Linked DNA regions of Mytilus edulis. The protein of the gene in region 1 interacts with the protein of each later gene in a pairwise test. Links are inferred from orthologs where the notes say so. Each region holds a gene or a part of one and is shown in the gene's direction. Other genes may lie near its edges.

Region 1 (16,748 bases):
ATAAATTCTAACACAGTACTGACTATACTAATGATATTTAAAATAAAACCACCTTCAAAATGGTACAATGTATGTACATTAACCGTGTGTAACGTCATACTACAAAGTCACGATCTGTAGTGGGGAATAAGATGTTCAGAGGGGAATAGGAAGTTTTGTTCAACGTCACATGTGATAGTTTCAACCAATCAAATGTTGATTTCACTAATCAACATGCAGTGGAATAATAAGAAATGATGCATCATTTGAAATAATTATGACATTCTGAATAATATGACTGCCTTTGAGATACAAGTATTTATACAGTAAAATGTTAACCCATGGATGGTGAAAATGAGACACAAGATATGAATACAAATAAGAAATATGGAATATATGTGCTAATCAGATAGGTACAGGGAACCAATGACAGACAAAAGAAATTTCTGTGGTCGTATAAAAACCAACTACATGTTTTTAAAGCAGTCGCTGAACCATGAAAATTAGGCAAGACATATATGGAAACTTTGTAACATAAGACATCATCATACAAAGTATGAAGCTATTCTATCTTCAAAATTTAAAAATATAAATCTTCATACAAATATCTTACAACAGTGCTTATAGTAATCTTTTTGCCACATAGTAATCTTATCCCTACATAGAGTAACATAGTAATCTTATCAATACATAGAGTAACATAGTAATCTTATCGTCACATAGTAATCTTATTGCCACATAGTAATCTTATAGCCTCATAGTAATCTTATCGCCACAAAGTAATCTTAAAGTTTGACCTTCTACAACTTTAATTGCATGTTAGACAAAAATCGGTTATTAATATTTTCAAAACATTTAACAGGAGAAAGACCTTGACCTGTTCAGACTGCTGATGTTAGTGTTAGTTTTGCTCCAATTACTTCAGTTTGTATTTTATCCCCTTTGTTTTGTTTAAGCAACAGTGACCATATATGTTGCAAGAGCAAATCACAAGACAAAATGTTAAGCTAGATACCTTTAGAAGCACACAGGAAAAGTTTTGTAACATTATGCCTGGAAATGTAAGGAAGTGTTTCTTTAAACAGATGATGACAACAGACGACAGACAGTTAAAGGACGGATGGTCACAGACAGTAAGTGCCTTCAAAGGCTCAATTTGTCTGTTTATGTAAGATAAAGTGTACACTTTTCAACAGCAATTAGGCTATTTTAATCACCTTGAGTTTCTTTTTTCTCACCTTGAACTCCAGCTTTATCTATAAAGTTATTGAGGTTAAAAGTACAGTTATTGGAGGCCAAATACTGTGTGAATCTCTGAAATAAAATAAAATATAATTGTATTTATTGTCATAGTGTCACTGTGCCCACAGGATACACCTATTCCGATCAATCGTACACAGATCCTACACACCAAAACATTACTCTCATACATGTAAAAGAAAATTGACAAAAGTTATGACAATTGATTGTTATAATCATAATTAAGTAAAATGTGAAATTGAGTTAGTATTTTACTAAATATAAGAAACTGCTTCAAGTCTCAATTGCTGACCATGCTATAATATGCCAATTTCACATTAATTTTCACCTTTTCTAATTTCAATATAAATTTCCATTCAATTATTGTTTGTCTATGTACAGTGTCTTGCTATTTATTGTAATGTAAAAATAAAATTGACCTTCATTTAGTCGCAGGAAACAACATATCAATATCACTGAATATATACAATAAGAAAAAAATATCATTTAAGCCTTTTTGTGTTTATAAATGGACATTGATTGCAGTACATCCCCAAATTAATTTTTCTTCTTAGAAAATCTGGTCAAAAACCCATCTTTGTTACGTAAACATGGTAAGAGGATCCTTCTTCATCATAGATCCTTATCAAGTTATACAATTACCATATCTAAGTTATTTGTGATACATACCTCATTGCCATAATTCATTAAATTCTGTATCGTAATTAAGGACTTAAACACTATTGTCCAGTTTGTATGTTGTGTTCTTTCAATCAGTAAATCGGCTAACTGTGGAATGGAAACATTTGGCTCATTGGTGCATTGAATTAAATCTGCAAAATAAGAGCATGAAAATAGGTTACATATAACCTGGGAAAGGTAGGCATGCTGAAGAATCCATTGATATCCAAGTTTTATTTCTATTGAGAAAATATATATCCAATTTTAATTTTTCCAACTAATAGTCCATTTGCCAATTCATAACGGATTTGATTCTTTTATTACACACTTTTTTTAAACAAATTACTCCCTTTTGTTAATCATAGACTGGTTCTATACAGGACAAAATTGGCTTTTGTCAATGAAAAAACTAATGAATTGAAAGAAAGGTATCGGTTTCACTATTTTTTCACGAAAAATAATTTCTGATAACAAAAGTATTCAGCAAACAACAAATGAATGTAATCATGGTAATCAAAAGATTTGAAAACCTTAAAGATACATTGTACCATACATTACACACAGGTAAATTTGCTCTTTCTGCTAGCTCTACATTGTGAATAAAATTTATGTCACTCCTAAGGGAGGCAACTAAAAAAGGGATCTCTAAATACAGGGTCAAATACGGGAATTGGCAAATGGACTATTTGTCATATAAATCTATTTGATACTCTTTTGACATAAAACTCTGAAATTTGGTTTATGGATAATTTTCAGTCACCTTTTAGGTCATCCAATAGTGCTGCTGTAAATAATACTTTTTGTGATACTAAGACATGCATTGGCAGGAAAATTTCCTTTTGAGAAGGTTCATCTTAAATTTTGTAAAGCAGTATTGAGACTGAAAAAGACAGTCCCCAACATGTGTTCTAGATCAGAATTATGTAGAATTACTTTAGACTCTTATAAATAAAAGCAGGGTGCAGCTTTATATGACTGCAGAGGTCGAACCCTGAACAGTTGGGGCAAGTGTGGACACTACATTCAAGCTTACTACAGCTCTGAATTTGGATTACAAATTTATTGCACAATAATGTACAATTAAAGATTTCTTCTTGAACCCTTTAACAAAATTTGACCAACCCCTAACTTTTTGAATCCCCCTTGGAGCAATAACCCAAAAGTTTTGCCAAAACTGGATGATGGATCCCACCCTTTCCATTGTAGTACAATTTCAGAGAAATCCAAACACTCAAAACACAAGTCATTGTCCAGAAACTAGAAAAATGCTTGTTTTAGCCCTTTTTTGGCCCCTAATTCCTGCAGTATCCCCCAAACTCAATCCCAGCCTTCCTTTTGTGATTTGAAACTTTGTGGTACAATGTCGGAAAAATCCATACACTTACACACAAGTTATTGTACAGAAAATACAAAAATGCATGTTTTTTAAAAGCCCCTTTTTAGCCCTTCACTCATAACTGAGGGAGGTAAAGGGTTATTTTCGTGCAACGTGATCGCCGTTTTTTTATTTCACGTTCAACGTGTTTATACTTTTTTATTTGACGTTCAGTCGTGCAAGACGGGTGCCTCGTTCAACGTGTTCTGCTTATTTAATTTTACGTGCATTGTGATTTTCAAAGTCTTATTTTGCGTGCTCGGTATTTTTCAAATAAAATTCAAACACTTGACAGGGATCGTCAAGAAATACTTTCCAAAAACCGTAAACCAATTATATCATAAATTTGTATACTAAATCGGGAATATCAAGTAAAACAAAGAGTTATAGCGAACCCTATGATAGTTTTCCATAGATTCACCTGCAAGTTACCTGTCGATTTAAACTTTTGGCAGTTCTATTGTCCCATCTAACAAATACAACAGGTATTGTTCTCTGTGTAGTTTATTCACTGGGACCTTTAAATTTCTTCTAGGAGAAATATATCACTCATTGATTAATTTACCTGAACAAAAAATTGAACTGTCAATGATGAAAAAATACTTATACCAATACTAAGAAAGGACTCACAAAACTGCATGTGGTGTTGTAATTTATTCAAAACCAAAAACTTGTTTTTAATGTGTTCAATATTAATAATGATTTAAAAATTAAAAGTTGATTTCTGATCAAATATTCAATAAATATTTTTGTGTGTTTGATAAATAAAAATTTGAATATTATTATTTTTAAATTAAGGTCTTCATAAACATAGTCTATAAATTAACAACAACAAAAACATGCAAATTCTTTGGAAAATACTAAAAAATGTGTCTAAAATATACTTTTTATTATTAAATCAGATTTTATATTGAACAGATTGAAAATATATTAATAGTATATTGAATAAATACAATATTGCATACAGTTTATGTGAGTTTATAGAAGTATTTCAATAAAAAAACAGATAATTTTTTGGTCAGGTAAATTAATCAATGAGTGATATATTTCTCCTAGAAGAAATTTAAAGGTCTTGGTGAATGAACTATACAGAGAACAATACCTGTTGTATTTGTTAGATGGGACAATAGAACTTACAAAAGTTTAAATCGACAGGTAACTTGCAGGTGAATCTATGGAAAACTATCATAGGGTTCGCTATAATATATACAAGAAGACAGTGATTCAGTCACAAAAGGTTCACATATTATTAAAAGTATTTATTTTTAGTGCAACGTTCATTAAAGAAATTATTTCACGTTCAACTTTTTTTTCGTGCAAGTACCCCCCCCTTTACCACCCTCGTAACTTGTTGGCCCCAAAATAAATCCAATACTTCAACTTGTGGTAATAAACATTGTGGTACAATTTCAGAGCAATTGAAATACTTACACACAAGTTAATATCCTGAAAGTTAAAAAAAAATGCTTGCCCCTTTTCAATGGCTTTTGGGCCCCTATTTCCTAAACGGTAGAGACCATCTTCAGCAAAATCAATCCCAAACTACCTTAAACTTTAAAGGCTATTGAACCTTCTTATTAAATTTCACAGAGATCCATTCATGTAAAGTTAAGTTATTGTCCGAATACCAAATGTGCTTTCGGATGACGCAGACAACAACGAAGACACAGACGACGAAAAAATTTTTTGCGATCGTATAAAAATCTCAGACACTCATGTATTTTTAAAGAATAAACTCTTAATCAATGATATTAATCCAATGTTCAAAGAATCTCTTCCATGATATGAACAAACATTTATTTACATTCCACAGGTTCTCATTTGCAGATAAAATTAAAAAAAAACCCTGATAAAATCAATATCCATCTGGTATGTTTAAGATTCATGTGGACCCTATGGCTAAAATGGTCGTATTTTCACCTCAAAATTTACTCTGAGTACAGACAAACCTGTGTATCTGTAAAAAATTTCAGGCATAGCATGCCCTAGATAAATAAATTTCAAATGTGTTTAATGTTAAAGAAAAATAAAAAATTACAAGGATATTGCTGTGCACTTTTTTCATTCCTCCAGAAGGTGCCAAAATAAACTAAGTTGGGAAACAGGTTTGAGAACTTCCCCACAGATAATAATTGAAGTGAGCTATTTTGATTGACATGGACAATAGATGGACAATAGATACCTGACAATAATTGGTTATTTAAACTGTGTACCTGAGTGGACCGTATCAAGAGAAACTTTTGACTGTTTGTTAATTTTATCATCTTCTGCAGGGACGAAAAAAAGTGCACGGCTCAATCCAGTTAAGGAACCAAGACCTTGCATTCTGGCAATTTATCTTACACACACATGAAGTTTTCCAAAACAATTGTTTTCAACATGTTCAAGGAAATTAATACAAATGGACATTTAAATTCAGCATAACAGAAATGACATCATTGACAACACATATCCAGTGAAAGTGTGTGTTTAAATGAAGGCCCGTTTCGAATAATGATCAGTTCTGGAGGATGCTAGGCTTATTATTGAAAGTAAGGGCCAATGAATCCATGCCCATGGACATGATGGTAAATGGTTTTTCAAGAGAACAAACTGCAAACATGGACCTATAGAGAATAATATCCCTACGGCAATTTATTCTGAGGAAATTGTTTAAGTTGTCCACCCTCAGAACCCAACAAGGGACTAAATTATTTATACTTTAGTTGTCATGGTAAATGTACCCTATCATCACCAGCTGCATACCAACCATCACCCCAAACTCAGGTCAAATAATAACACAATTATCCTTCCTTATTTATGCCATGTCATCATACAGTAACCGCTAATTTTGGGGTTACTTACAATCCAGATGTTTTTTCTTTGGCCCCATGACTTCTTCTGTAGTCGCTTTACATACAACCTTGGCCAACCCTTGGCCCGAGAGGCTGTGTTTAGCCGCAGTCATGCGATCTAAAATACTCTGTCCTGACATTTTGACTAACTATATGGTTAGAACACTCAGGAGTCACCAAGGGTCTTCTCTGACCCAAATGAGTGTGTTGAAATGCTCTAAATACACAAAAAGGGGTGGATACGGCGACCAATAATATTCAAGATGGCTGTTTCATTAATCAATCTCCGAAACAGAGGCGATCGGATTTTTTTGTTACACTAAGTTTACGCCGGTTTACTACAAAAATTATTAGCTTTTTTAAAAGCTCGGCAAAATGTACTGTTCTTTATAGGCACTGCTACGATTACATGAAACTGCAACAATCATAAAAAATAAATGCTCCGCAGAGCGCAGCTGGATACGACCGAAGTTCAAGCCTGAACAGTTGGGGTCGCAAAAATAGACGCAATATACAAGCTTGATATCTGACATACAAGTCTGAATTTGGATTGTAAATTAATGTGTTTGGATTACCTCCCTTACACTGCTTTTAGATCAAGACAACAGTAGTATACCGCTGTTTGAAACTCATAAATCGTCGATTGAGAAAAAAAATCCCTCTTACAACTTGAACTAAAGCTGAGGGAATATAGTTATCAAAAGTACCAGGAAACCATTAACGAGGAAACCCTTGTTTTTCCTCTCTTTTGCCCCTAATGCCTAACCAGTTTGAGCCATAATCCCCAAAGTAAGCCTAAGCATCCCTTTGTGGTATGGAAACTTGTGGTATAATTTCAGAGTGATCCATACACCGTTCCAAAAGTTGTTGTCTGGAAACTAGAAAAAAGCATATTTGTGGCCCCTTTTCAACCCCTGATTTCTATACTGTTCGGTCTTTAAATGTCACAGTATCCGATGTGATTCAATGAATCTAAATTCTTAAGAATTTTAAAATTCTCTTCTCTTGTTTTTGATTATTTTGCCAGATATTCGGAATCCTCCAGTTTCATTCATAAAACGCCATTAAAAGTTATGCTCAATTACCCACATCTTTTTTCGCAATTTTAGTGCATATATCTAAAAAAGACATATTTTCCAAACTTTTGATTTTTTTGGATTTTTTTAATGGTGCCAATATTCTATGTAGGAACAATCTAGAGAGAATCATTTCTCGCCAAATTTTCGATACCTTATATCTCGAAAAAAAAAGGTTGTTATTTTGAAACAGAGTAGTGAGCATTCTCAAGTAGATGATTAGTATTACTAGTACCAACCGTGCAAGGGCTGTATAGCCAGTCAAGGTCGTTAAAAGCTTTCATTTGTTACTAATATGATGATTCAGTCATGGGGTAATGCAAATTTGTAATTGTAATGCAAGGTAATGAATTCCCTTTCAAAGTAAAAGTATGTAATGTGTTATATTAATGCAGCAATTTTATTATATGTGAATATAGCGCAAAATTAGAGAAACAGATTCACCACAAACCTCGTGTATTATGATATTTATCCATATCAACAGTTAAATCTTAATTATCCGTTAAAAAGCTCGGCAAGTATCGCACTTTAAGGTGGTATGGGAGTCTAAATTAAAAATGATAGAATTTGTTCATGCTAAAACATAGCATTTATCGATATGTTCAAAAATATAATAAAAAGGCGGTGGCTATTTTGCCGGCTCCGGCAAAATGGCTGTTTATAAAGAATTTTGCTATTTTGCCGGTCTTAATAAAGAGTAAAATAGAAGTACATGTATAGAAATAAAGAGAAACATACACTTCAATAAGAAATTTCCATACAACTATGTCAGTCTTCTTTATACATATATAAATACAAATCGTGCATATTAAATTTGATATTCTGTACAGTCTTTTTAAAACATTTTAAAAGTAAACGCATTAAAATTGATACAAGTACTTTTTTTCTTCGATAGAAGCTATTTTAAAATAAAATCTTTAAAAAAAATATACAATACCAGAGAAATATAGAATATACGTCTCTGATAATATACATAAGAGAAGCATACGAACCCATGTAAAAAAATCGACATTCTGATACAAACTTATAAAAATATCCTTTTAGTTTTGATACAAAAAGTAACACCCAACAACTCAAACTGCTTAACGAGAGTTACAAAACCAGTGTCTTGCTTCTTGGTGGTTTTTTTTTCTAAGTCTGGCACCATAAAGGTGCTGCCACTTCAAACATGAAGTTAACATAATACTTCAACGATTTTTTTGCGTCAGCATCACTTATGCAAAATTTGCTCGGTTATACATTTCAGTATTCAAAATTCATAGAATAAATGCTGTTTGAATAGCTAGATTTCTATGCATTGTGTGTACAATATTTGTGTGTTTATTTTATAATACTTTATTGCACCATAGACAATACATTAATTATTATTAAAGTTTTGTCTGGTTTTCATGAATTTTATAGTCGATGTTTCACGTTTCAAAGTACTCCAAAACCGGCTTAAACTCTTCATATCAATTTGAAAATCAAGTTTGTTTGATAACAAATTTTCCATTTTCGAACGTTCAATGTTCAACAGAAATTAACGTATGTATAAAAAAAAACCGGAAAATTTGGTAGGATTTCCAATCAGACAACTCACCGCAAGAGACCAAATGACACGGAAATTAACTACTATACGTCACGTACGGCCTTCAACAATGACAAAAGCCGCTTAATCAGGCGTCTATAAAAATAACATGTATACATCTCACAAAAACACAGTACATGTAATTAAATGAGTGCAGTTCACCAAAATTGATTATGACTAGGAAGGCAAGGCGAACAAAAAGTTTATTAATTGACATTTAGCCACATATAAATTTTGTACATGAATAGTTTCCCTTAAAAATATATTTCATATAGTCTTGCCATGATTAAAAATCTGAAATAAGACCGGTAATTTAGTGGTTGTCTTTTGTTTATGTGTTGCATATTTGTTTTTCGTTCATTTTTTATATAAATAATGCCGTTAGTTTTCTCGTTTGAACTGTTTTACATTGTCATATCGGGGCCTTTTATAGCTGACTATGCGGCATGGACTTTGCTTATTGTTGAAGGCCGTACGGTGACCTATAGTTGTTAATGTCTGTGTCATTTTGGTCTCTTGTGACCAGTTGTCTCATTGGCTATCATACTTCATCTTATTTTTTATAAAATAGAAAAACTCTATATTATAAATCGCTAGCTATTTCGACGGCACCGGCAAATAGCATCTTAAAGTCACCGTACATTTTCTCAAGCTACAGGATGTGACAAATGGCAAATTTTGTATGGATTATACAGGAAAAAAACACCCGATTATGTGATTAGAAGCTAAACTAAGAATTGTAAATAAAATACGAGATATTTTTAAGAAAATGCATCGAGAATATCAAAAGAGAAGATAGGGTCACCGTGTGTATTTTTAAGCTAAATTACAAAATAACTAAATTCCACAGTAAAGATTTCCTCAGAAAATGCACCATTGTAGAGTTATCTCCCCTTTAAAATGCCTATTTCAAATCATTAAAAATCTAGCAAAAAATAATCTACACTTTCAAAATTATTAATATTAATAATCTTATAAATGTGTTCTTTCAAATGCAAATTCACATAAGTTATCGGCATTCTTGCATTAAATTTTGCTAATTTGTTTGAAAATCTGGACCTTAGATTTTTGTTTTTTTTCCAATCCAAGTTGTCGAAAGACACCCATATCAGTTACATACCGGCCGGGAGTAATTCATACCTAAGAAGAAGATCCCGGCGGGCACATTTTTATACAACCAGATAAAAACATATATTAACTCCCTTTCAATGAACGGGATGCCGAAAAGAGAGAGAAATGCACAGTGCCCCCGTGGAAATGCTATTCGCAACACGATTTACACACATAACACACGTGGTTAATTTTTGTACGAAAGTCACGTGAAAATAATGGAATGTCAACAATGCTGTAAAAAGGGCGTACCTCTGTCAATCAAATAGCTTGATGGAAAAGTCCATAAATGAAATATCAGAAGGTAGAGCGGCATGAATTTTATCAATTGGAGATTACTTGCTCCTAAGATAAATAATTTATTACTTATATTTCTTACAGTTCAAAATATCATATGTTCTGCTAAAATATAAATTTACTCGTCCATAGTTAATTTTAAGAATAAAGATGTAGGTCAAACAACCTGCTACGGAATTTGTGTTTCTTAGACTCGTCCATTTTGGATAGTGGCCGTATTCAGTGCCAGATTTCGACAGAGATTCTTGGGTGAGTGTTATTTGTTTTGCTGCTTGTGTCACCAGAAACAAGTAAAATGAAAATGAAACTACACATTTTAAAAAAAGTAACGAACTTTATTTACTAGAAGTTACAAATTTTGATATGGGACTAGATGCATCCGAACAACATGGCGGATACCAAAAAGGTGTTAAAAACCAACAGGTTAAAGTATATTGTCGTTTACCTATTTTTTATCAGATAATAAAATATCAAAAACAAGAATATATGAGGAACAGTTGATTACACCACAGCAAAACGACTGATTGTATTTTGAGAAAGTTGTCCAGAAAGACTGCTTAATATTCTTCAAATATTTACATTTTTATTGACATTGTATAAATACCTATTAATTTAAGTATCATATATACTGTTTAAGTACAATGTACCATGCAGTAACAAACAGGCACATTACATATTTTGTTATTTTTATCATGCAGTGTTCCCAAACATTTGGTTATTATCAAGCAGTTAAGTTGCCAATTTTCATCAGCTGGTACATGTATTTTATGCAATTATTTTCTATTGATGAGGGGGCCTCGTTTGCCAAAGTCGAAGTCGTAGTCGTACTACTGCAATCACTAGCCAGTCAACACTAAGGTTGTGAGTTCGACCCCACTTGTGCGGGTGTACTCTACTCCAATCTTAATTGACTAGGATTGTCAGTTTTCCTATCGAAGGTCAGTGGTTTTCACCAGACACTCCGGCTTCTTCCACCAATAAAATCTGGCTGCCATGAAATAGCCTAAATGTGGTGCTTAATAGTGGTGTTTAACACCAAAAATCAAATCAAATCTATAGTTGAGTATTAATATATTTATATATAGTGGATTTGGGTATCTTGTTATTTCAACTTATTAATCCCTTTTCACTTTGCTCATGTTGCTGGTGCAAGTGTTGCTTTGTAATGGCATTAGCCTGCTCTTTTTATCAGATCTATAAGTAACAAGGGTGTACATGTCTTATACATGCAAGAGATATATTGGTCTTTCTTACTTATTGATGAATATTCAGTTTTTAGTTGAATATTAAGAAGATGTGGTAAGAGTGCCAATGAGACAACTTTCCATCCAAGTCACATTTTGTAGAAGTAAATCATTAATGGTCAAAGTACAGTCTTCAACACAAAACCTTGGCTCACACCAAACAGTAAGCTATAAATTCCCCAAAATGACTAGTGTACAATGGTGTACATGTTGTACATCATGTACATGTTAAACCTTTCAAATTGGTAAACCAACGGTCTAACCTACATGTATATGGTTCTAACCTATATGAGAAACGAGAAACACTTATGAACCACATCAACAAATGACAACCACTGAACATCAGGTCATGATCAGTATAACAATCATAAAATTGAGAATGGAAATGGGGAATGTGCCAAAGAGACAATCGTATACATGTACCAGAAAATATTTACCTCATATTATGTTTTTAAAGTCTATTCCATACATAAGAATAACAAGAGCATGTACATATTTGTATATGAAAGTGGCTCACTACCACATCGTTGCTGAATGCAAGCTTTATTATATATGCCATCATTCATAAATACCATATGAGAATAAAGAGATGTTGTATGAATGCCAATGAGAAAATGGCCCTTAAAGAAATGACTATCTCACTTAGCAGTACCTGAAAGGGCTGGTCAGTGACTTGAAGAGGCGACCTCTTTAGTGTCTAGGTGACCAGATTTTATAGAAAACTAAGCATGTGGGAGATTACATTTCAATTCTTCTAAAAGTCATGTTTTAATCATCAGAATATAAAAATCCTTGTTGTCTTCTCCTGTGGACAGACTTGGTTAACTTGGCCCAGGACTTTTCTGACTGTAAATTAGACTTCTAGGATCATTATCTTCCTATTATGCCCCAGTTTATTCTGGGTAGATTTGTCAAGTACTCTACCAAAAGTATTTGTAATAACCGTTACATTAGGTCATGATGAACACACAGGACAATGATCATGATGATAACAAAATTGATGAATAAAATATAGCAGGGGTCATAATAAGGCACAGCTAGAATAAATAAAACCAGGACTTAGGATGACTATTCGGGTGACCAGGATTACTGCTTAGAGCAGATCTGTGTTTTCTGAGCAATATAAATAAATATTTTGACTTGCACAGAATCATTCAGTAGTTCTGAAATTTTAATGGTACAAAACATATATCAAGACCGGGCAGCCAAAATAAAAATATAAAAATAAGTATAAAATTAAAGCAGTAACTTAATCAGTGTTGTATTCTCATTAAGGGTAGCAGTAAAATATTGAATTGATTACTAAATAAGAAATCAGGACAGCCCTTTATTTAAACCATGAAGGAATCAGAAACAAAACCACTATTGACATTTTCTCTAATATATCATGCTAGCAGTACTGCACAATTTGCACACCCTTTCTTGTAGTTTGATTTTATTTTAGCACCAATAGAAATAAAAAATCTGTCTTATGTTTAGAGCAATTATAAAATTGTTTTTGTCAATATTTCTTATTTGAAAAGGTGAACAATGATTTAAATGGCATAAATTGTATACAAGTAATGCATATTTTTGTATCAATACCTTAAACAATGTTATTACAGTAAATAAAACAAAATGTGTTTTGCTATATTTTATGAAAAAGATCAAGAATATTTTTTGATTTTATAGGTTTGCTCAAGTCTGCATACAAGCCTATATAGAAAGTTTATACTTGTCGAATATTTATATTCATGGTTTATCTTACTTACTAAATTTTCCAAGAATATTGGTATCCACGGACCACCAAATACTTATGAATCCATAGTATCTCGAAAAATATATTGAGTACAACAATGTACAAGAAGGTAGAAACTATTTATTTCAAGTATCTACCTGTTATATCAATGTTTGAAATGTGAGCAATTTAGGCTCTTGCATTGGGAGCCTCTTGATAAGTTATTTTTTAAACAATTTTCATTTGATTTTTACTTTCAGGTTCTTTAAATGTTGAAAATATAATAATTGGAGTATATGTGGATCTTTCAACATGTCTATGGTTTTGTTGGATAATACTTAGTAACAAAGTGCAAATTATGTGAACACTTTTAATTCAAAGCATTATAATGAGAAGTGATAGAAATATAATGGATTTATAAATATGGAAAATTGGACAAACTTAACTAAGTAACATGCTACAAAACTTGAGTCCTTCAAAAAACAAATTTGATAAGCTATTGAAAGCTAATTATATTGTGAACAAGAGATGAGATATGATACGTAATTCTACCAGTGGAAATGATAATGATGATCCAGAACGTGGTGGACGTCGACCGCTTGTCATTGATAATCAGGGTCGGCAAATGCTCAATGACATTAAAAATGCCTTAAGTCACCATCTTAAAACAAGTAAACCTGAAGGAGAAATGTCACCAAACATTATTAAGCCTATATCAGCACCAGGAAAAAGCCGGAAAGCCTACAACAAGCAAGCCATGGAAGCTATTCACAACAGTTTGAGACCATTCCAGCATGGTAAAGATGAAAAAAATGGCCATAGTAGTGCAACATCTACTCAAGGAAGTGATGAAAGTGAAAAAAATGATGTGAGTTTTTGTTACATATACAAATGTATATCATGTATATATACATGTGTAGCTACAAAATTGGAATTAATAATTTCGGATCATTATTCTCCCACATGCAATATGTTGCGGGGGACATGGAATATTTGGGTTTCAGTCTGCTAATGCTGTCTATTCAGTCATCTTAGCGCTCTAGATCTGTAAAGTGTACAATTTATGCCAGATTTTTATGAATCTTATATCACAAGTTTATATCAGCAGTGCCAATCAATTATTATACGACCGCAAAAATTGAAAATTTTTTGGTCATATGTTGGTATCATGTTGGCGTCGTCGTCTGTGTCGTCGTTGTCGTCCAAAGACTTTTGGTTTTTGCACTATAACTTTAGTATAAGTCAAAAGAAATCTATGAAATTTAAACACAAGGTTTATGACCACAAAAGAAAGGTTGTGATTGCTTTTGGGAGTTTTGGTCCCAACAGTTTAGGAATTGGGGGCCAAAAAGGGCCCAAATAAGCATTTTCTTGGTTTTCGCACTATAACTTTAGTTTAAGTACATAGTAATCTATGAAATTTTGACACAAGGTTTATAACCTCAAGAGAAAGGTTGGGATTGATTTTGGAAGTTTTGGTCTCATCAGTTAAGGAATAAGGGGCCAAAAAAGGGCCCAAATACGCATTATTCTTGGTTTTTGCACAATAACTTTAGAATAAAAGTAAATAGAAATCAATGAAATTTAAACACAAGGTTTATGACCACTAAACATTGCTAAAGGAAGGTTGGGATTGATTTTGGGAGTTGAGGTCCCAACAGTTTAGGAATTAGGGGCCAAAAATGGCCAAATAAGCATTTTTCTTGGTTTTCGCACCATAACATTAGTATAAGTAAAATAGAAATCTATGAAATTTAAACACAAGGTTTATAACCATAAAAGGAAGGTTGGGATTGATTATGGGAGTTTTGGTCCCAACGAATTACTGGCCAATAGGGCCAAAATTAAACTTTGTTTGATTTCATAAAAAATTGAACTATTGGGGTTCTTTGATACATGTATATGTTACAGGGAATTTGTAAAATCAGGGATTTTGTAAAATCACTGGGCTAATCAGTGATTTTGTAAAATCACTAACAGTTTCAGTGGTTTTGTAAAATCCCTAAAATTGTTAGGGATTTCACAAAATCACTGAAAATAGAGCTAGGGATTTTGTAAAATCCCTGATTTCAATTAAGTATAACTTGCTATTAGAAATGTTTTTTTCTTAATATAAAAATAGACTAATGATCACTAATGATTTTTAAATATCATGCGCGTAGCTACGTTTACGTCAAAACGCCCGGGCGTACACTTGAATTTGGCAAAAAAAAATATTTTCATCTAAATATTAGTAAAAGAATTGGTTAACAGTAACCTTGTAGGTCTTTCTTCAATGGCTTGCAATTTCGAATAAAAATGACAAAATTGGTGTTATATTTATATATTTGTTTATTTTCTGTCAAAGTCTAAATCTACCGTGAATTCTATACTCGCTTTCCTTTGTTAAAGCAATTCCTTGTGTACTTAAAGTCGAAATGTGGTATGCATTTGTTTTTGATTATAACCGTGTAGATGTACAATGTAGGTTCAGTATGTGGGTAAAGTTTTAAGATATCAATAACTTTGTCAAACCTTCGTATGATTTTACGATAGCTGGACAAAAACTGTTTATGGTCAAAGGAGTTACCAGCACATCATGACGAAATTATATATGATGAATTTTCCCGTAATTAATGGATTTTTAAAAGGAATTTCTTGAAGTATTTACATTCTGAGGTTAAAATTTGGTACATATAAATTACTTTGTAAAAACCGTGGTCGAGGTTAATGAAACTTTCTTGGAGGAAAACGCGTATGGCGCAAGAATAAACTTTTAGCGGGGATAAATTGCAGTCGAGAACCAGGGTTCCATAGAGAGACCTTTACTAATTTTAATATTGCACCTGAACAACTCAGAAAAATAAGCATTTCATGTTCATTTACGATTCTAAATAAACAATGAATAGATTAAACATAAAAAATAACCATTTTGAATCTAAAGAATGTTGTTACTGATATGAGTTTTCAATGACAGGAATGGTATGTCATTCTCGATAACTGTTAAACTTCCGGAGGCTTCGCACCCGCTCATCTCCTACCAGCTGGTTTATTGGCCTGGACCCAATAGGGCCTCTTGGCCCCTCACCGATGTTCGGGCGTACACGTAAAAATGACCTTGCTACGCTACTGAATATATTTGTTTATTAAACCTATGAGCTAGAACTAGTGTATAATGATAATGACTAAAAGACATGTAAAAGGATATTTAGACCAGTGTGAATTTACTTATTTTCGCATGGCAAGTTTGGGTGACATCCACTGTTACATAATTGCCCTGCTTTTCGATGTATAGTTCCTTTTAAAGTTTGCACACTTTCTGTTTGCGCATTTTTAATGCCATTTCATCCCTACCATCATGACCTATTGATATGTGAATTTTCTGAACTATGCTGTGCGTGTCTTCAAGACATACATAATATTTTTAAAACATCTTCATCTGATAAATACCGCTTTTAACATTTTTTTTTTTAGATATTTGCCACTAAATCATATACCCTAACCCACTCAATTTCTTATACCTTACGTTGTACATGCATGTTTTTCTTCTCTAATGACAGCAATCACTGTGACCTACATGTAATGTTCCGTTTAAAAAAAAATGATATTATTTGTTTTATTTTATACAGTATTTACAGAAAAACTATAAT
Region 2 (16,485 bases), on another chromosome or scaffold:
AACAATTGTAAAACAAGAAAATAACAGGCATGTGATTTATTGCAATATTTAGGTTATTCGGTCTATATAATTCACTCAAATCTGATGTTTGAATCCGAATTATGAAATGTTAAAAAACACTTTCATAAAAAAAATCGCGTGCCTGTTAAATGCGCACATACCTATATGTGTACCTAAAGCAACAGAAAAAAAATTGTTAATAATGATACTAAGTCTTTCAATTGAATATCTTTATATTAAACGTATGATTAAATGTACGACTTCAGCAATATGAATCCTTTCAATAATGTTAATTTATATAAATCAATTAACTATTTCAACATTCCTTCATTATACAACTTTTTTTTATTACACTGTCATTGAAATTGACAAATAGCCGCTCCTACTAATTAAGGTGGTTTCCTTTGATGTGAATTAAACTCAGGTAGGTCTGCTTTTGAAAACAACTCATAAGCTTTGGACGATGTTTACTTGTGGTAATTAAGAATATAAAGAACAAATGTGACTTTTTCAATTCTTTTGAGCGGTTAATTTTAAATCTTAAATATTAAAATTTGCATTCATGATAATTGTATTAATTTGAAAGAAATACCACATATAAACATTACTTATATAGTTATTGTAATAACTTTAACAACGTTAACGTTCACGATATCGATCACGAGATTTAACTTCTTATAATTAATTAAACGGACGTCTGTTAAAGGGCCGTCGTTATCTGATGGTATCAGAGGGATTAAAAGGTAAAGGTCAAATCTGCCGAGCGGAAAGACGATTTTAACTGCAGACGGCAAAAATAACTGATTGACAGCAACTTTGAAATACGACAGCTATTTTGAATGTAGAATGTCTATAAAATCGATCTAGTCAATAATAATAGCTGTTGACAGGCATCATAGGCAGTAAGCGGGCTTGATAGCTCTTTGGTTTTTCTAGTGTTCTTCCACCATAATTGTTCAGTAATATAAACATTTTTTTTACATTTCATAATAGATGTCAGATGGTCCAGTACAATGTTAACATGTTTAATAGCTTACCATTTGATGTATTTGATGGTTGTTCTTTTTTAACAGGGGACTGTGCTTGTGCTACAGGCTGTCCATTGGGTTGTGCTGCATCTACAATACATTAATATAATTTAATTTTGGATGTAAAGCGTCTTCCGATTGCCTGACATTAAAATTGAAAATGTAAATGGGGAATGTGTCAAAGAGACAACAACCCGACCATAGAAAAAACAACAGCAGAAGGTCACCAACAGGTCTTCAATGTAGAAATTCCCGCACCCAGAGGCGTCCTTCAGCTGGCCCCTAAACAAATATATACTAGTTCAGTGATAATGAACGCCATACTAATTTCCAAATTGTACACAAGAAACTAAAATTTAAGTAATACAAGACTAACAAAGGCCAGAGGCTCCTGACTTGGTATTGTTTAGTTTATCAGCTCATAGACATAATTTTGTCATGTGACATTGATGGCATCAACATTTTTTCATGATTTACTCAGGTTTAAAATGGAATTAAGAATTAAATTATAATGACTGTAATATTTTTTTTGTCTATTCGAAATATCATAAAAAATGTGGTGCACACTTTAAAAATTCAGTGTGCACCACATTTTTGATTTTATTTCTTCAGACAAATTTTTTTTTTACAGTCATTTCTTAAATAAATATAAATAATAAGATATTGGTTATGAGTCAATGTTACATCAAACCAAAAACACTACTGTTAACTTTGATGAAAGCAATATATACAATAAAGAATGGGAGCAGGGAATTTATCAGAGACAACAACCCAACCAGAGAGCAGAAAACATCCCAAGGCAACCAATGGATGACCTTTTTAGTATGTATCAATATAAGATCAGTAGCAATTAACTGCTGGACCATACCCTAGAAAAATCAAAGACATCATCAATACAGGTATTAGCTTGTTTTGTCATCTCCTGGTTCTTAAAATATTGTAATGTTTTTTTCTGAACTCAAATCTTACTTTCATTTCTTGCCTCACCAGGTTTAAACTGCTGAGGGTTTCCTAGCCTCACTCCTACATCACTACCTTTGGCTAAAACATTAAGATCTAGGAGTATCAAAACACGTCTACAAAATAAAGAACAATATCTTATCACAAGCGATTACATAAGACCAGTATCTACTTTTTCATCTGGTCATTGCTCACTCCAGCCAAACAAAAAATAAGTGTATTTAGCAGAACTCAAAAAATGATTTTTCTGGTCTGTTGAGTCGGGAAATCCAAAAACAACTATTTTGACTTAACACATTTGAAGTTAAACCAATGTTCCATGATTTGACCAATAACCTAACACCAAAAGAATGTAATACAATGACTTTTTCTGTTTTTATAAAACAGTAAAACCTGCAAAAATGTTAAATAGTAGAATTGTGCTATTAAACACCTAAAATTTAGCAACTTTTGTTGCAACTTTTGTTACAATATATGTGTCAATGTTCCAATGAAATTACCTAACAGCTATATAGGCCAATATTCTACTATCTAAGGTAAAGACTGAACATTTGGCATTAAAATTTAATCTTCACCATATACTTTTGCAGTAACATATAAAATATTTCAAAATGAGAGTTTAAATTATTGCGTTTACAACTTTGTTGCATTTTTCACAATAAAAAACCTCGAATTTATTTCTGAATTTACAGTATTCAAAATAATACCTGTCTCCCTGGATTGTATTACATAAATATTTGTCAACTTGTACCACTGCTAAATTATCCATCTCCCCCGACTCCATTAAGTTGTTCAGTTGTGTGGCCAACATGGCATCTAAAATGATTACATGTCTTGGTATTAAAATATTGCCTGTATTCACATGTGTGTAATGTATATATGTATACATGAATGTATAATGTGTGTTGGCAAAGGTGTAAAAATTTTTAACTTGTGTCATTTTTGTCCTAATTCAAGAATTTACAGACTGCTGATTTTTTAGATTTTCTTTTTTATTGGTTTTACTGGTTTCTGGTACTTCATAAGGCATTGATACCTTTCTGACCAATTATACTCTATGTACAACTAAATGGAAAACTAAACATACATGTTTTAAACCATAAACAATCTCAATTAACAGATTATTCAAAATCTTTTTTTCTCTGGTGGTCCTTCAAAAAGATCTGTTGGTCCCCACTATTATTTCTATAGTGAAATACCAAAATAAAGTTTATCCTTTGTAAGATTTTGGTGGTCAAAACTTTTAGATAATTTTTTTAAAAATCTGAATTAAATTTCAGTTTTCTATAAATACTTTAGAAAGGCCTTCTTCATCTTCCTTTTAAACGAACTTAATTTAAATGATGAAATCATGAGGCCTAAATTAATATATTGTTTGTTTCCCCATTCCCGACCCTGCCGAGCCAGGTGTTGGTAGGTAGGTAGGAAAATAATTTTATTTTTCCAAAAAGGTTGAACAATATCGTACAATCCGGCAAGCCAGGATATTGGAAATGAAAATAATATTTGACTTAGTTTTGACAATAAAATTTTATGAGTAGCACTGTTTTTGCAGAGTCGGTCGGGATGGGGGAAACAAACAATATTTTATTTTAGGCTTGAACCTTTCAAACACTACCTTATACTTTGTACATACAACTTCTTCCAAACTAATTTTAACAAAGCCTTTTGAAATTGTACAAGATAAGAAAATAATTTTGTGATTTTACTCATATGCAATATACACATATTTACGTGAATAACTGTGAAGTCCATCTGATAGGAGGAGTCTGTATCTATCTGCACTGGATCCTGCTGCTGTTATTTTCTTTGAGCTCTGCAGAATAGAAATGTAATTGATGAGAAGAAATGAAATCAAAATTTCAAAAATATATTAAAGTATTTAATTTATGATAAGACTAAGCAGCTCCTGAAAATCTGATTTACTCATTTGTCAAAATTAGTTTTAGAGATAAAAGACCAAAATTTGTCATCATACTAATTTCATTTATATTTCAGACTTTTGTTCATCCCAAGACAAAAACACTAAAGTTAAGGAAAGTAAACCAATATTTTGATGCATCAAAATGAAGAAATCACATTACATAATGTCCTATTCACAAATACAAAATAAATTTTGTTACATTTTCTCAGCCAATTAAGGGGAGACAAGTCAGAAAATTTAATGTTAATATTTATTCTAATCTTCTTATAGAAGAAATGTATATTCATGGAAAATGTGTAATAGATTAACCTATTTGACTTCCTTTTTGTTTTCTCTGGTGGATAGTTGCATTGTATCATTGGTAATCTTACCACATCTCAATTTTTTTGTAGATTTATCTAATACCTGAATATAGAACATTTTAATACATAAGAAGAGAAGTTATCAGTTGGGTTTTTTCCCACTCCCCTTTTGTAAATAATAAGACTGAGATGAAAGGGGAATGTGTCAAAGTGACAACCCGACGAAAGAGCATAAAAAAGCCTGAGACCACTAGTGTGTCTTCATACTTACAATAATCTGCAAGACAGGTCTATCAAAATTGTTTCCACCAACTATAGCCTACAAAAAGAAAACACACAAGACTTTATAAGTTATAGCACAATAGGATTTACAATTGCACGAAGGAGCTTAAGTTTATTTTTTAAGTCATTAAGATATTCATCCAAAAGTTTTCACACTGAGGAATTTTATCCAACTTGGATTGCTTTATAGAAAACAGTAAAAAATATATTGAATGACCAAAAGGCGATAAATTTTTTTGAGACATTTATTTATCTAAGTATATAAGTTTTACAGATATTGGAGTGACTGGAGTCTATGCATCATCCATGGTATAGATGATATTGTAACAAACCTAGGGTTACTATAAACTGTTTAACCATCATTCAGGAGGAGTGGAATCGACGGCAGTGTGAAGAAACAGATTTGTAATAAACATAACAATGATATTTATTTCAACAGTTTTTTGACTTCTTCTTTCAATATAATAAACATCAAATACACATTCATCATTCAACAGATAAAGCAATAAATCGGGTGGTCAATATAAAAGGTAGTTGACGGTTCAAGAGATTGATTCAGAATGACATGTGTGTCTACAGGCTCCTATTTATGTCTTTTGGCACTTACTATGACGTTAGAGTAAACATCTAATCATCCAATCAAAAGCAACGTTTCTTACGTCTTTTGGCTAGTAACGTTTAGAAAGACAAACAGATTTCGTTATTCTTAGATAAAGAAACATTATTAAGTTGTCCTCACTTTGTCCTTCTTGTCCGAATTATGTTTAAAAGCAAATGAAACTAAAAGGACATTTCTACATAATGCTATTTTTAAACGGACAGTAAATTCCTTTCTCGGTACGGCGTATGAACTTGGGTGTAATTTACATAACCTTACGCATTAGATATAATGCTTAAATAAGATCAATGAAAACCCTGTTCTATCATAAATAAAGACAATGTTAATGAAAAGGGAGGCACAAACATAATAAATACGCAAATTATCTGCATTGACAAAGTGTTAACTTAAACAAATGATAATGTGAGATCGCAAAGTGAAAGTACAAAACGGTGTCGTGGCAGATGTAAACAAGTTGAATCTCACGACGATATTTGTCAAAATAAATCACTGTATGACGGTATAATCAAAGTATTTCATAGGTAAACATTACCAAGATATACATATAAAACTGACCCTTATCGCTTGCAAAGTACAAATAGTTTAAATCATGAGTATGAAAGTCAATGCATTTATCAGTGTTTGTGCACTCGAGAGAAGTTGACCACCCGGCAATATTCAAATAAATATATGTCATATACAATAAATAATACGTTAAATAATAACAATAATAAGTCCAGATTTGTCACAATATCAACAGGATGAGCCTATTTACTTTAGCCCCCAGCACCATCTGATAATACTAGAGGTCACTCAAAACTTTAAAAAAAAACAGTGTAAGACAACACATAGACTGTCTAAATACTTTTCAATTAAGAGCAAGTATAATATGTAGACAGATTAAAGGAAGATGTGGTATGAGTGCCTAGATACATTAATATATTGTTATGCAATGATAATTTAAAAAAAATAAATTTTGTCCTTAATATAAATGTGGATATGATGCCTGAAGTCTTATATTTTCGCAACTGCATGGAGAACACTTTTTATGCAGATGCTGATATACATTTATTATATCTTTTTTATGAAACTAAAACTGTTTCAATGGCTATGGTTATCAGGGTTTTAATGCTTAGTTTTAAATTTAAACCAAACTCCTGCTTTTTACCCCCTTGTTTTAACTACGGTACATGTATAGTACTGCTTTATTTGCTGATGTATTATGTGTAACTCTTTTAATTTTGATTAAATTAATATATTAATCTGTGAAATCTAAGTCGTTTTTTTTACATTTTTCATTTTGATATTGTTTTTGAAAAACAATGCCTTTTGATGTCTTACATTTTATAAATCTTCCGCATAAACTGTGATCCATTATAATCAGTCTTTCGAAATTGTATTCATAAATTATATTATTGTTAAAATTGAAACATTCATACTTGTTTTATTACAAAAAAATTACTTGTCTAAAATTAAAAAAAAAATAATGTGCACAACTTATTTTATCAACACAAAGTTGCGCTATTTTTTCTTCCCCGGGCGCTTTTATTTACCCGGACACATTTTAGTAGGACCCATTGGGATGAATGAAATACAGCAATTATGATAAAGAAGCTTGCATCAATTAAATCAAGGACATATATGTCACATACGACTCCACAGCACAGCTGGTGTAGGCACATGTGTATCCGACATCAAGAATGTTAAATCTGACTTAAACCTAAAGTACACATCTCACCTAACGGTTAACTCTAACCATAAAGAGAAGGGACTCCCTCATCGGCGGACATCGCTTATAAGATCTATATTAAATTATACATTGTAACTGAAAGAAGGACATGATAACATAAAGTTTAAACAGGGATTGTTGAATGGTTATTCGCCTCTTCAAAATTTGATTAACCTCAATAGCACCCGATGTTAGATCTGGTGCCATTCTGTGTTGTTTTTCTGTGAAAGTGCTGTGACTGCTTTCTGCTTTATTTGCTGATGATTGCTTATTCCCGCTAAATATATAGCTTACTACGCATGCGTCAATTGTACCTCTTTTTCCGGTTTTTTAAATGCAATCATCTAAGCGCTTTACAAGAACGGTATTAGCAGTGGCTTGTAAAGCATTTCAAACTTAAATGAAAAATGAAAACATTGAATAAATGTGAAAGATGAAGATGAAAGGGATCGGTTATTCGTTTTATGAGCACCATGTAAAAGTGTTAGATTAGTCGATAGACTTATTAAACGCCGCAATGCCTTTTGTTAATATGAAAAAGGCTGCTCAGGCCTCAGGTAGCTCAAAAAGTTTTGCTGTGAAAGTGACAACAATGGATGCAGAACTTGATTTCACGACTGTGGAGGTGAATATTTCGAGCATTACTGTGTGTTATTGATTGATAAATCGTCTCTGACATGATATTTTGTAAAACTACTAAATTAGTTAAGTAATAGGAAACACATATATATCACACTGAAGTCAAATCACACATAATTTTATTTAAAAATTAGTCATTTCGTACCCAGATAGATGTTATCTGGTGTGTTCGTTCACCTGTAGAGTCTTTCACCTTCTTTCAGTTTCTGCGATCTCTGAGGCAGAGTTGTCTCCGTAGTTATTACTGAAAATTACTACTAGTCAACAATGAGGTTGTGAGTTGAACCCGGCTGGTACGGGTGTACTTATTCCAATCTTAATGGACTAGGATTGTCAGTTTTCCAATTGAAAGTCAGCGGGTTTTTCCAGGCACCTCAGCTTCTTCATCCAATAAAAACTTGCCACCACAAAATAGCTCAAAAGCTGTGTTTAAAAGTGGAGTGGTGTTAAAACATCAAGAGTTAAATCTTTCAGTTTCTAGCAATCCTTCAATTATTGAATAGTGTGTTGCCATGAGTTCGTTCTCTCTACTTTTATTGTCGAGCCTTCGACTTAAGTCGAAAAAGCGAGACTAAGCGATCATACATTCCGTCGTCGTCGGCGTCGTCCACAAATATTCACTCTGTGGTTAAAGTTTTTGAAATTTTAATAACTTTCTTAAAATATCCTCGGTTGGTACCAAACTTGGACAGAAGCTTGTTTATGATCATAAGATAGTATCCAGAAGTAGATTTTGTAAAAATAAAATTCCATTTTTTCCGTATTTTACTTATAAATGGACTTAGTTTTTCTACAGGAAAATATTACATTCACTCTGTGGTTAAGGTTTTTAAATTTTTTTTAATAACTTTCTTGAACTATCCTCGGTTGGTACCAAACTTGGACAGAAGCTTGTTTATGATCATAAGATAGTATCCAGAAGTAAATTTTGTAAAAAAAATAAATCCATTTTTCCGAATTTAAATTTTAAATGGACTTAGATTTTCTGCCAGGAAACAACACATTCACTCTGTGGTTTTTAAAATTTTAATAACTTTCTTATACTCTTTTGGATTTGTACCAAACTTGGACAGAAGCTTGTTTATGATCAAAAGCTAGTATCAGGAATGAAATTTTGTAAATGACTAAATCTATATTTTCATATTTTACTTTTAAATGGACTTAGATTTGCTGCCAGGAAACAACACATTCACTCTGTGGTTAAACTTTTTAAAATTTTAATAACTTTCTTATACATGTACTATTTTGGATTTGTTCTTAACTTGGACAGACAGAAACTTGTTTATGATCAAAAGCTAGTATCTAGAAGGAAATTTTGTTTTCTTCCAGTTAACATTACATTCAGTCTGCAGTTAAAGATTTTAAACATTTATAAGATTCATAAACTATCCTGGATTTTTACAAAACTTGGACAGAAGCTTCTTACAATCAAAAGATAGTATCAACAGGAATATTTCATTGATTTATTTCCTCATTTTTGTTGAGCCTGAGATTAACAGAAAGAGTAGGCAAGACACTGGGTTCCGCGGAACCCTTACAAATTTTTTTAATATATTTATACTAATGGCATTCAAGTTTAAGAAACTTATTCAGATATTGGTGTGGTATAAATTCTTGAAATTCACTTAAACATGTAAACACATGGACATATTGAAGCATTGATTGTTCAATGACATGCTAATAATTCTGACCCGTTCTTGTAATACTTGTCATTGCCTTTTTGGTGGATTTATAATTAAAAAGATGTTTTAAAAAATATGTCACCTGTTTTTCTATTAATACATATTAAACTTAAAATATCTACAATTTCAAGATAAAATATCTTGATTTGTTACTTCTCTATATATTTGAAGGCCCCCTTGAAGGTTTTGTAGGAGTAAATGAGCCATTTTGAACATAAAACCCACTTCGACATTTTGAAAAGTTGGCTGATATGCTTAGCAAATGAGTTGGGAAATATATATGCATACTTTAAGAAGTTTAGTAGTGGCCTCAGGATCATCAACGTTCAAAAAAGTAAAATCAATAATAAATAGGAAACAAAGATTCTTCTTTATTTCAGAATTAAAAAAAACAAACAAGCATTGACAAAATATGAAAAAAAGATACCTTAAAGTAATATAAAATAAACTTTTAATCAATGTGTAAGTACATACTAGACATACATTAAGTTTTATTCTATTTTTAGCACAAGGCTACAGGCAAAGATTTATTTGAACTGGTGTGTAGAACAATTGGTCTGAGAGAAACATGGTACTTTGGTCTGCAGTATGTTGACACGAAAGGATATATAGCATGGCTCAAATTTGATAAAAAGGTATTTTAATTAGGGCCCTGCGGAATGGCGAATGCCCTATAGTGATCATTCTGTACGTCGGTCTGTCCATAACAAATTGTGTCCACTCTATGTCTAGACAACTGTTATGATTTCAAAGTTTATACTTGACATGTATATTATACAACACCAGAGGGTGTGTCATAATTTATGTACAACTTCGTAGGTCAAAGATCATCATCAAGGTCAAAATCATCGGTTTCAGTTGACAACCCCATGTTTAATGATAAAGATACACATTTTTTACCACACATTATTCACAGCGGGCCCACAGAGATGGCTTCCATCTCAATGATATCTAGTTTGTTTTTTTCAAATTTTATGCTCTGTATCATCAAGCTAATTTACTCAATACAAAAATTTGACCAACAAGATATATTTTTAACTGAAACAATCAGCCACCTGGTATTCACTCTATCACTATTAGAATAGCAGTATATTGTGTATTGACACAAAAACATTAACATGATGAAAAGATGAACATCATGAAGATTATAGACAAGAAGTGCAGAAGTTAAATATTATTTTCATGTACATGTAACTACGATTAATTAGAACAGCCATATTATCATTTACTGTGTTCTAGCTGCAACATCTAGTTTGTGCTGCAATGAAGCTAGATTACTTTAAATTCAGAAATTCTTGCACCCATTTATTATTGCAACTTTTGAAAAGTGAACAAAAATGTAAGTTTAATTATTGCAATTTTAGGAAACGCTGCTTACAGATATATATATCTGATATCAGAATACAAGTAACTTCTAATTATTGCAGTATTAAATCAACTAGTAATGACATTATTTGCATTGATAAAAAACTTTGGCAAAAAATTCTGAATTTACAGTATATTTCTAGATAAATGTACATGTGACAGTGTTCTCCCCAGGATTTTTGGATAGCGCTGTGGTAAGCGCGTAATTTTCGACAATTCTCAGTAACTTTATTGCGGCGCGCGTTTTGTTTGTAATTGATTTGATGTGTTTTTATTATATTATGCTATTGATGTTTTCTCTTGTAATGATGTCCTCATCATGCTCATGATAGTTACAATGTACCCCTTTGTTTGTTAATGTTTTTGTCTGGATACACATGATATAGAAGAAGAGTCTTTTTTTTCCTCCATTGTAAATTCATATATTAAATCCTCATACTATCAGTGTATAAAACTGAAGGAGAAGTCTTTTTCCATGATGGGTTTACACCAGACTACCTATGTGAAGATTTCTTAGCACTAACAGGTAATGTTGCAGAACATGTAGGACCAACAATAAAGTCCTTGTCAGCTTCTGTTTGGTTTTGTAACCCACTGTAGCAGTGTACAGTTTACCGTCTTTACCTTACGACGTTTGACAGGAATTGACATTTTTTTAGCATAAAGATTTCTCATTTGTCTGACCTTAAAGTTTTATAATATTTAAATGGCCTCATCCAAGCTGAACATCGAGAAAGTGAAATTTCTCAAGTCGTATCAGCTTGGGGTTTGTTTTTCTAATCATATCCTCTCAATTGTTTTCAAATGGTAGAATTTCTGACTAAACAATTATAAGTTTGAATAGGTGATAATTAATACTTCAAAGACTTGCTCATTTTCGGGGTTCGTATGGATAGTAAACTCGGCAAATAATTTGTAACAAACCCCGGTGTTTGATCGTTTTTAGTGGAAGAAGACGTCAAGTCTTCTGAAGACTTAAGGGGCCGACCATTGGCTTTGAGTCTCCGTATGCCGCATTCATTTCGTGTATTACAATATCAAAACAACTTAGATTCCTGACACCGATTTTTACACATGATTGGGCATCTGAATCATTTAATTTGTAAATTATGATTGTAAAACAATCACTATCGTAAATATGACCCTTTTATTTATGTAAATTATTAGATTTCATCTCATCCACATGAACGTAATTTGTTTACTTGTAACAGGATGTTTTTACTGTAGATATTTGTATTACGCATGCGTGAATTTGGTATCGGTACAACTCGCCCTGTTTACAAGTTCGCCCTTGAAGTTACGAATTTGCAATCCTGCAGACAAGAAGATTTTATTTTTATATAAATAAAAAGGATATATAAAGTGTTATCTTTATTCATGGGTTTCCTTTGTCATGTGAATTAGATGCCCTTCGTAACATACATGTGAACCTCCCATTTAGGAGAAAAAACTCCCGTGTATGAAATTTTTCAGACGCCATATTTGATCATTTCTTACTACTGTACGGGTGTAATTGACACCTGTGTTAAATTTTACCTGAACATCAAAGAAGATGTATAATTATATGGCTTCACTTGACAGCTTGGGTGTCAAACATACTGGTAATCAACGATGTTTACCTCCGGCTAACTGCCGTTGTGTTATCAAAACGATGTGTATTGGGAATATTGAAATACTTTTTTGTTACTTCCCTTTGTTTTATCCTGTTTTCAGTTATTTTGCTTTTAAAAATGTAAATGGTAAAAAGACTATAAATGATTAATATTTTAATCAAATAATCATAAAAGGATGTTGATTAAATGAATTTAAATGATTTTGGACAAATAAAAAAATTAAAATTTATAAATTATTTTATTAATTTAGACCTCCTTTCAAGGATTAAATTGAAGTTGATATATTAAATTTGTTTATAACTGGTTAGAAGGCAACATACAATATGTGCAACTAGGCTAATAGTCTAGCTTCTGCTAGCTTCATGTATAATTTTTCTACCGATTTACTATATAACTAGAATTATGCAAACAGACTTAAGGAAAGGGCATGTAAGTCATGTAAGTTCATACAAATATGACACTTTTTCTAGACAATCCAGATCTTGCAAAATACATCGCTAAAAATTGTAACCTTTAATTTTGTTGTTGTGCAGTAAAAACCCATATGGGAACTTTCAAAAGTTGGCAGGTATGTAACAAGTCTTACTATTTTTATGCTCCATTTATGGGCAATATGTTTTCTAGTCTGTCCATCCGTCCTGCTTCTGGTTATAAAGTTTATGGTCGAGGTAGTTTTTGATGAAGTTGAAATCCAATCAACTTGAAACTTAGTACACATGTGTTCCTCTTGATATGATCTTCTTAATTACTGCCAAATTAAAGATTTTACCTAATTTTCATAGTCAACTGAACATAGTAAATGGTTGTACGGATGGGAAATCCATGTACTTATGACCTTTTCTTGTTTGAAGAAAAAAAATACATTTTAACGATAATGGAACAAAGCAGCCTGGGTAAGTGGGGCTGCTTTTATGGTAATTCAAGTTACCTTTTATTCACCTTCTTCCACTTCAGAGCTATCAGCTCTTTGATTAAAATCATCGTTTGTTTAAAGTTGGTAAAACAAGTTTGTGAGTGTCGTCGGGAAATGCGGTCAATTCATTTCATCTCATTTCATTCATATATGCCTCTATATAATCTTTTAATTGAAAAAATAGATGTCAATGTCGAAATCTTTGTTTATTTTGATCTTTCAAAGACGCATTTTTGTATTAGACTGGTCCCGCGGAGTTACTTTAATACAACGGAAATAATTCATTCAAAAATCGTATACCAGTCAATCACGTGATCCGAAGAGTAAAATAAGCGGGAAATTTGAAAAAATGCGAAAAAAAATATAGCGACGCAGTTGAGTGGGATAGCGCTGCGGTAAGTGCAATAGGACAGCGGGAAATTGAAATAGCGCTGAAAATCGCGGCGCTAAAACGGCCTGGGGAGAACACTGTACAGTGAAAGCAAAGATTTTATCAATAAAAAAATTTAAACATAAATTGTTGAAAGTAATAAACCTAAGAAATAAGTGGTTTCAGTAGGCCAAATAAAAAATATGTGTGTTCTGTTTTCCATACCTAAGCTTAGAAATAGCCTACCTTAAAGCTTTTTGGGTAATTTTTATGCCCCACCTACAATAGTAGAGGGGCATTATGTTTTTTTATGCCCCACCTACGATAGTAGAGGGGCATTATGTTTTCTGGTCTGTGAGTCCGTCCGTCTGTTCATCCATCATCCGTTCGTCCCGCTTCAGGTGAAAGTTTTTGGTCAAGGTAGTTTTTGATGAAGCTAAAGTCCAATCAACTTGAAACTTAGTACACTTGTTGCTTATGATATAATCTTTCTAATTTTAGTGCCAAATTAGACTTTTGACCCCAATTTCACAGTCTGCTGAACATGGAAATGATAGTGTGAGTGGGGCATCCATGTATTATGGACACATTTTTGTTTCAAAGATGTAATAGGAAACATACATATTAGTTTATTTTGGTCTTACCATTTGACAAAATAACAGTCAGTCATTTTCAAGTTAAGGAATGTAAAATAATAATATTATGTGTTCTTTCACTTCAGGTGCTAGACCAAGACATACCAAAAGAATATCCAGTACAGTTTTTATTCCTGGCGAAATTTTATGCTGAAGATGCCTCTGAGGAATTGATACAAGAGATTACTCAACATTTATTCTTCCTCCAAGTTAAACAATCAATACTGAACATGGACATATATTGTCCTCCAGAGGCTTCCGTACTGCTGGCATCTTATGCTGTACAAGCTAAGGTTTGATTAATGGCTCATTGTTTGAAAAATATACTGTGGATTCATAATAAGTTGGATACCAATTTTCAGGTGAACCACTAATTTAAATGTTCGACTTTGGCAGAACCACGAAATAACATATCAAAGAAAATACAAAGTTTCCGCAATTGTGGAAAATTGGTACCCTCGATAATAAATGAATTCCCAGTACAATGCAGTAGTCTGCTTACAAGCATTTAGTAATGTTATTGTGCTATTTGACCAGTCAAAATACAGTGGCTTTATAAACTTGGGCTTTTATGGTCACTGACCCTAGAGAAGTCTTATAATTGATGTTCGTAATGTCTTTCCATAGAGTTTTGTCTTTGACTCTGTGAAATAATATTCAAATTTGTCAAAGTTGATTTATATTCAGACCATTTCATTTGGTACAGTTCTAGGTGGTACATAACACTACAGGGAGATAACTCTGGAAAAATCAGCTAAAAGTTTAAATCACTTTCTATTGTTAATGATATATTTAGCTTCTAAAAAAAAATGATCAAAAGTAGTGTTTTTCAAACTGCTATACAATGTATATCCAATGAAATTTTTCCGAGGAAGTGTTTGCTTCATGTTTTTCATTTTTTTTTATAATTTTGTCTAATAAGTTCAATGTTTCAAAGTTAGTATTTTGACAAAGTTTTATGAAATTTAAACGCGCCAAATTATTTTTAGTTAAGGTATTTGGTATACCTTAAGAGACTGCGGATAAAGAAAAAAACTTTCATACAGTGTAGTCTTAAATAGGCCTATTTGCTATTTGACATTAAATATTTTAGTCTACATATTATGACGCTGTAAATATAACAATATAGTCATGTAAAATCAGGGCACGTTCCAACGTCTGCAACCTGTAAAATCAGTTCAAACAGGTATTTGTTTAAAGAATTTTATCGTGCATTCCATGTTAAATATATCATTTGAATATTTCTGTATGAATCATATTATATTTTCAGTATGGGGATTATGATCCAAGTTCATATAAACCTGGTATCTTGGCGAGTGAAGATCTGTTACCCCAGCGAGTGATTGACCAGTATCATATGACAGCTGAGATGTGGGAAGAAAGAATAAAAGAATGGTATGCTGATCATAGGGGGATGTCAAGGTGAGTTTTAGGTCATATCACTGCTGACGATATGCTCTTTTATTTGACAGTGCCCTCAAGAAAACTGTACAGGACATGGATGCTAATCAACAGACTATCAAGGATTATTGAAGTCTTTGATATTTACATAGACAACCATGCACCATTAGTTTTTTCAATCATTAATTTTCTATCTGAAGACGAGTAAGTAGTGTGATATCAAAAATTCTCTGAAAAAAAAGATCAAAGGAAAAATACACATAAAAGCAATTTATAACATAAATTATGGGCTTGAAAGGAATGATATATTGATTGTGATGTAGTAAACAATTTTAATTGCACACATAAAGCTGTAAACCATTTTCTGTTGAATAAGTCTCTAGCTTATGAAAAACTTTATGTTCAAATTTTAACAGCAGACATATTTATGCCCTGTTGCAGCAAAAGGGGCATTAAGTTTAACCCTTGTACGTATATACATCCCTAAATTAGTTTTCTGTTCTCTAACTGTAACCACAAAACATAGATCAAGTTTGAAATTTAGTTGTGTCACTTTTACCATTCTAGAATCAGTGTTCTCCCCAGAAATTTTGGATAGCATCACATTTTGCGTAAAAAAAAAATAACTGTATTTTTTTTAATGTCATTTGTCGCGTCGCGTCGAAGCTCTTTTTCCTTTATATGTTTTTTGTTTATATTGTTATATATTCATAACTAAGAATACAATTAAACTATAACCACAAAAACAGTTGTTTCAGTTTATGTTTTCTTTATTCATTTATAGTTACAGAATTATTTTTTTCCTCTTGTGCCAAATAAAAATAAATATGTGGTTTCAGTTACCCAACAATAAGTCAAATGAATGAATGGTTCATTATAGTGCAAGCTGTATATATACAAAACTAAATATCTAGTACACAAATTTAACTATTTTTTATATTATATTAAGTAAAGATAAAGTAGCAAAAGTAGGCAAAAAATAATCAATTTAAAAACTTATTTTGTTTTGTTTATGAAATTTATTGTTTCATGGCACTCAATCAA

Evidence for each region.
Region 2: the proteins of serine/threonine-protein kinase LATS1-like (region 1) and merlin-like interact in binary tests that used the Drosophila melanogaster proteins (3 or more experiments, as listed by UniProt). The link is inferred for Mytilus edulis from reciprocal best matches to the Drosophila melanogaster genes wts and Mer.

Annotation. Positions count from the first base shown.
Region 1 is NC_092353.1:65,158,151-65,174,898, forward strand, and holds the start of serine/threonine-protein kinase LATS1-like, read left to right. Parts: upstream 1-10,092; 5' UTR 10,093-10,407; exon of another isoform or gene 10,408-10,581; intron 10,582-13,379; 5' UTR 13,380-13,654; coding exon 13,655-13,987; intron 13,988-16,748. UniProt on the Drosophila melanogaster protein: Negative regulator of Yorkie (Yki) in the Hippo/SWH (Sav/Wts/Hpo) signaling pathway that plays a pivotal role in organ size control and tumor suppression by restricting proliferation and promoting apoptosis.
Region 2 is NC_092349.1:5,673,338-5,689,822, reverse strand, and holds the start of merlin-like, read left to right. Parts: upstream 1-7,161; 5' UTR 7,162-7,340; coding exon 7,341-7,448; intron 7,449-9,650; coding exon 9,651-9,779; intron 9,780-14,126; coding exon 14,127-14,333; intron 14,334-15,310; coding exon 15,311-15,462; intron 15,463-16,485. Other genes in the region: replication protein A 70 kDa DNA-binding subunit-like, read right to left, coding at 1,038-1,118, 1,998-2,104, 2,696-2,804, 3,723-3,804, 4,486-4,533, 6,998-7,030. UniProt on the Drosophila melanogaster protein: Regulator of the Hippo/SWH (Sav/Wts/Hpo) signaling pathway, a signaling pathway that plays a pivotal role in organ size control and tumor suppression by restricting proliferation and promoting apoptosis.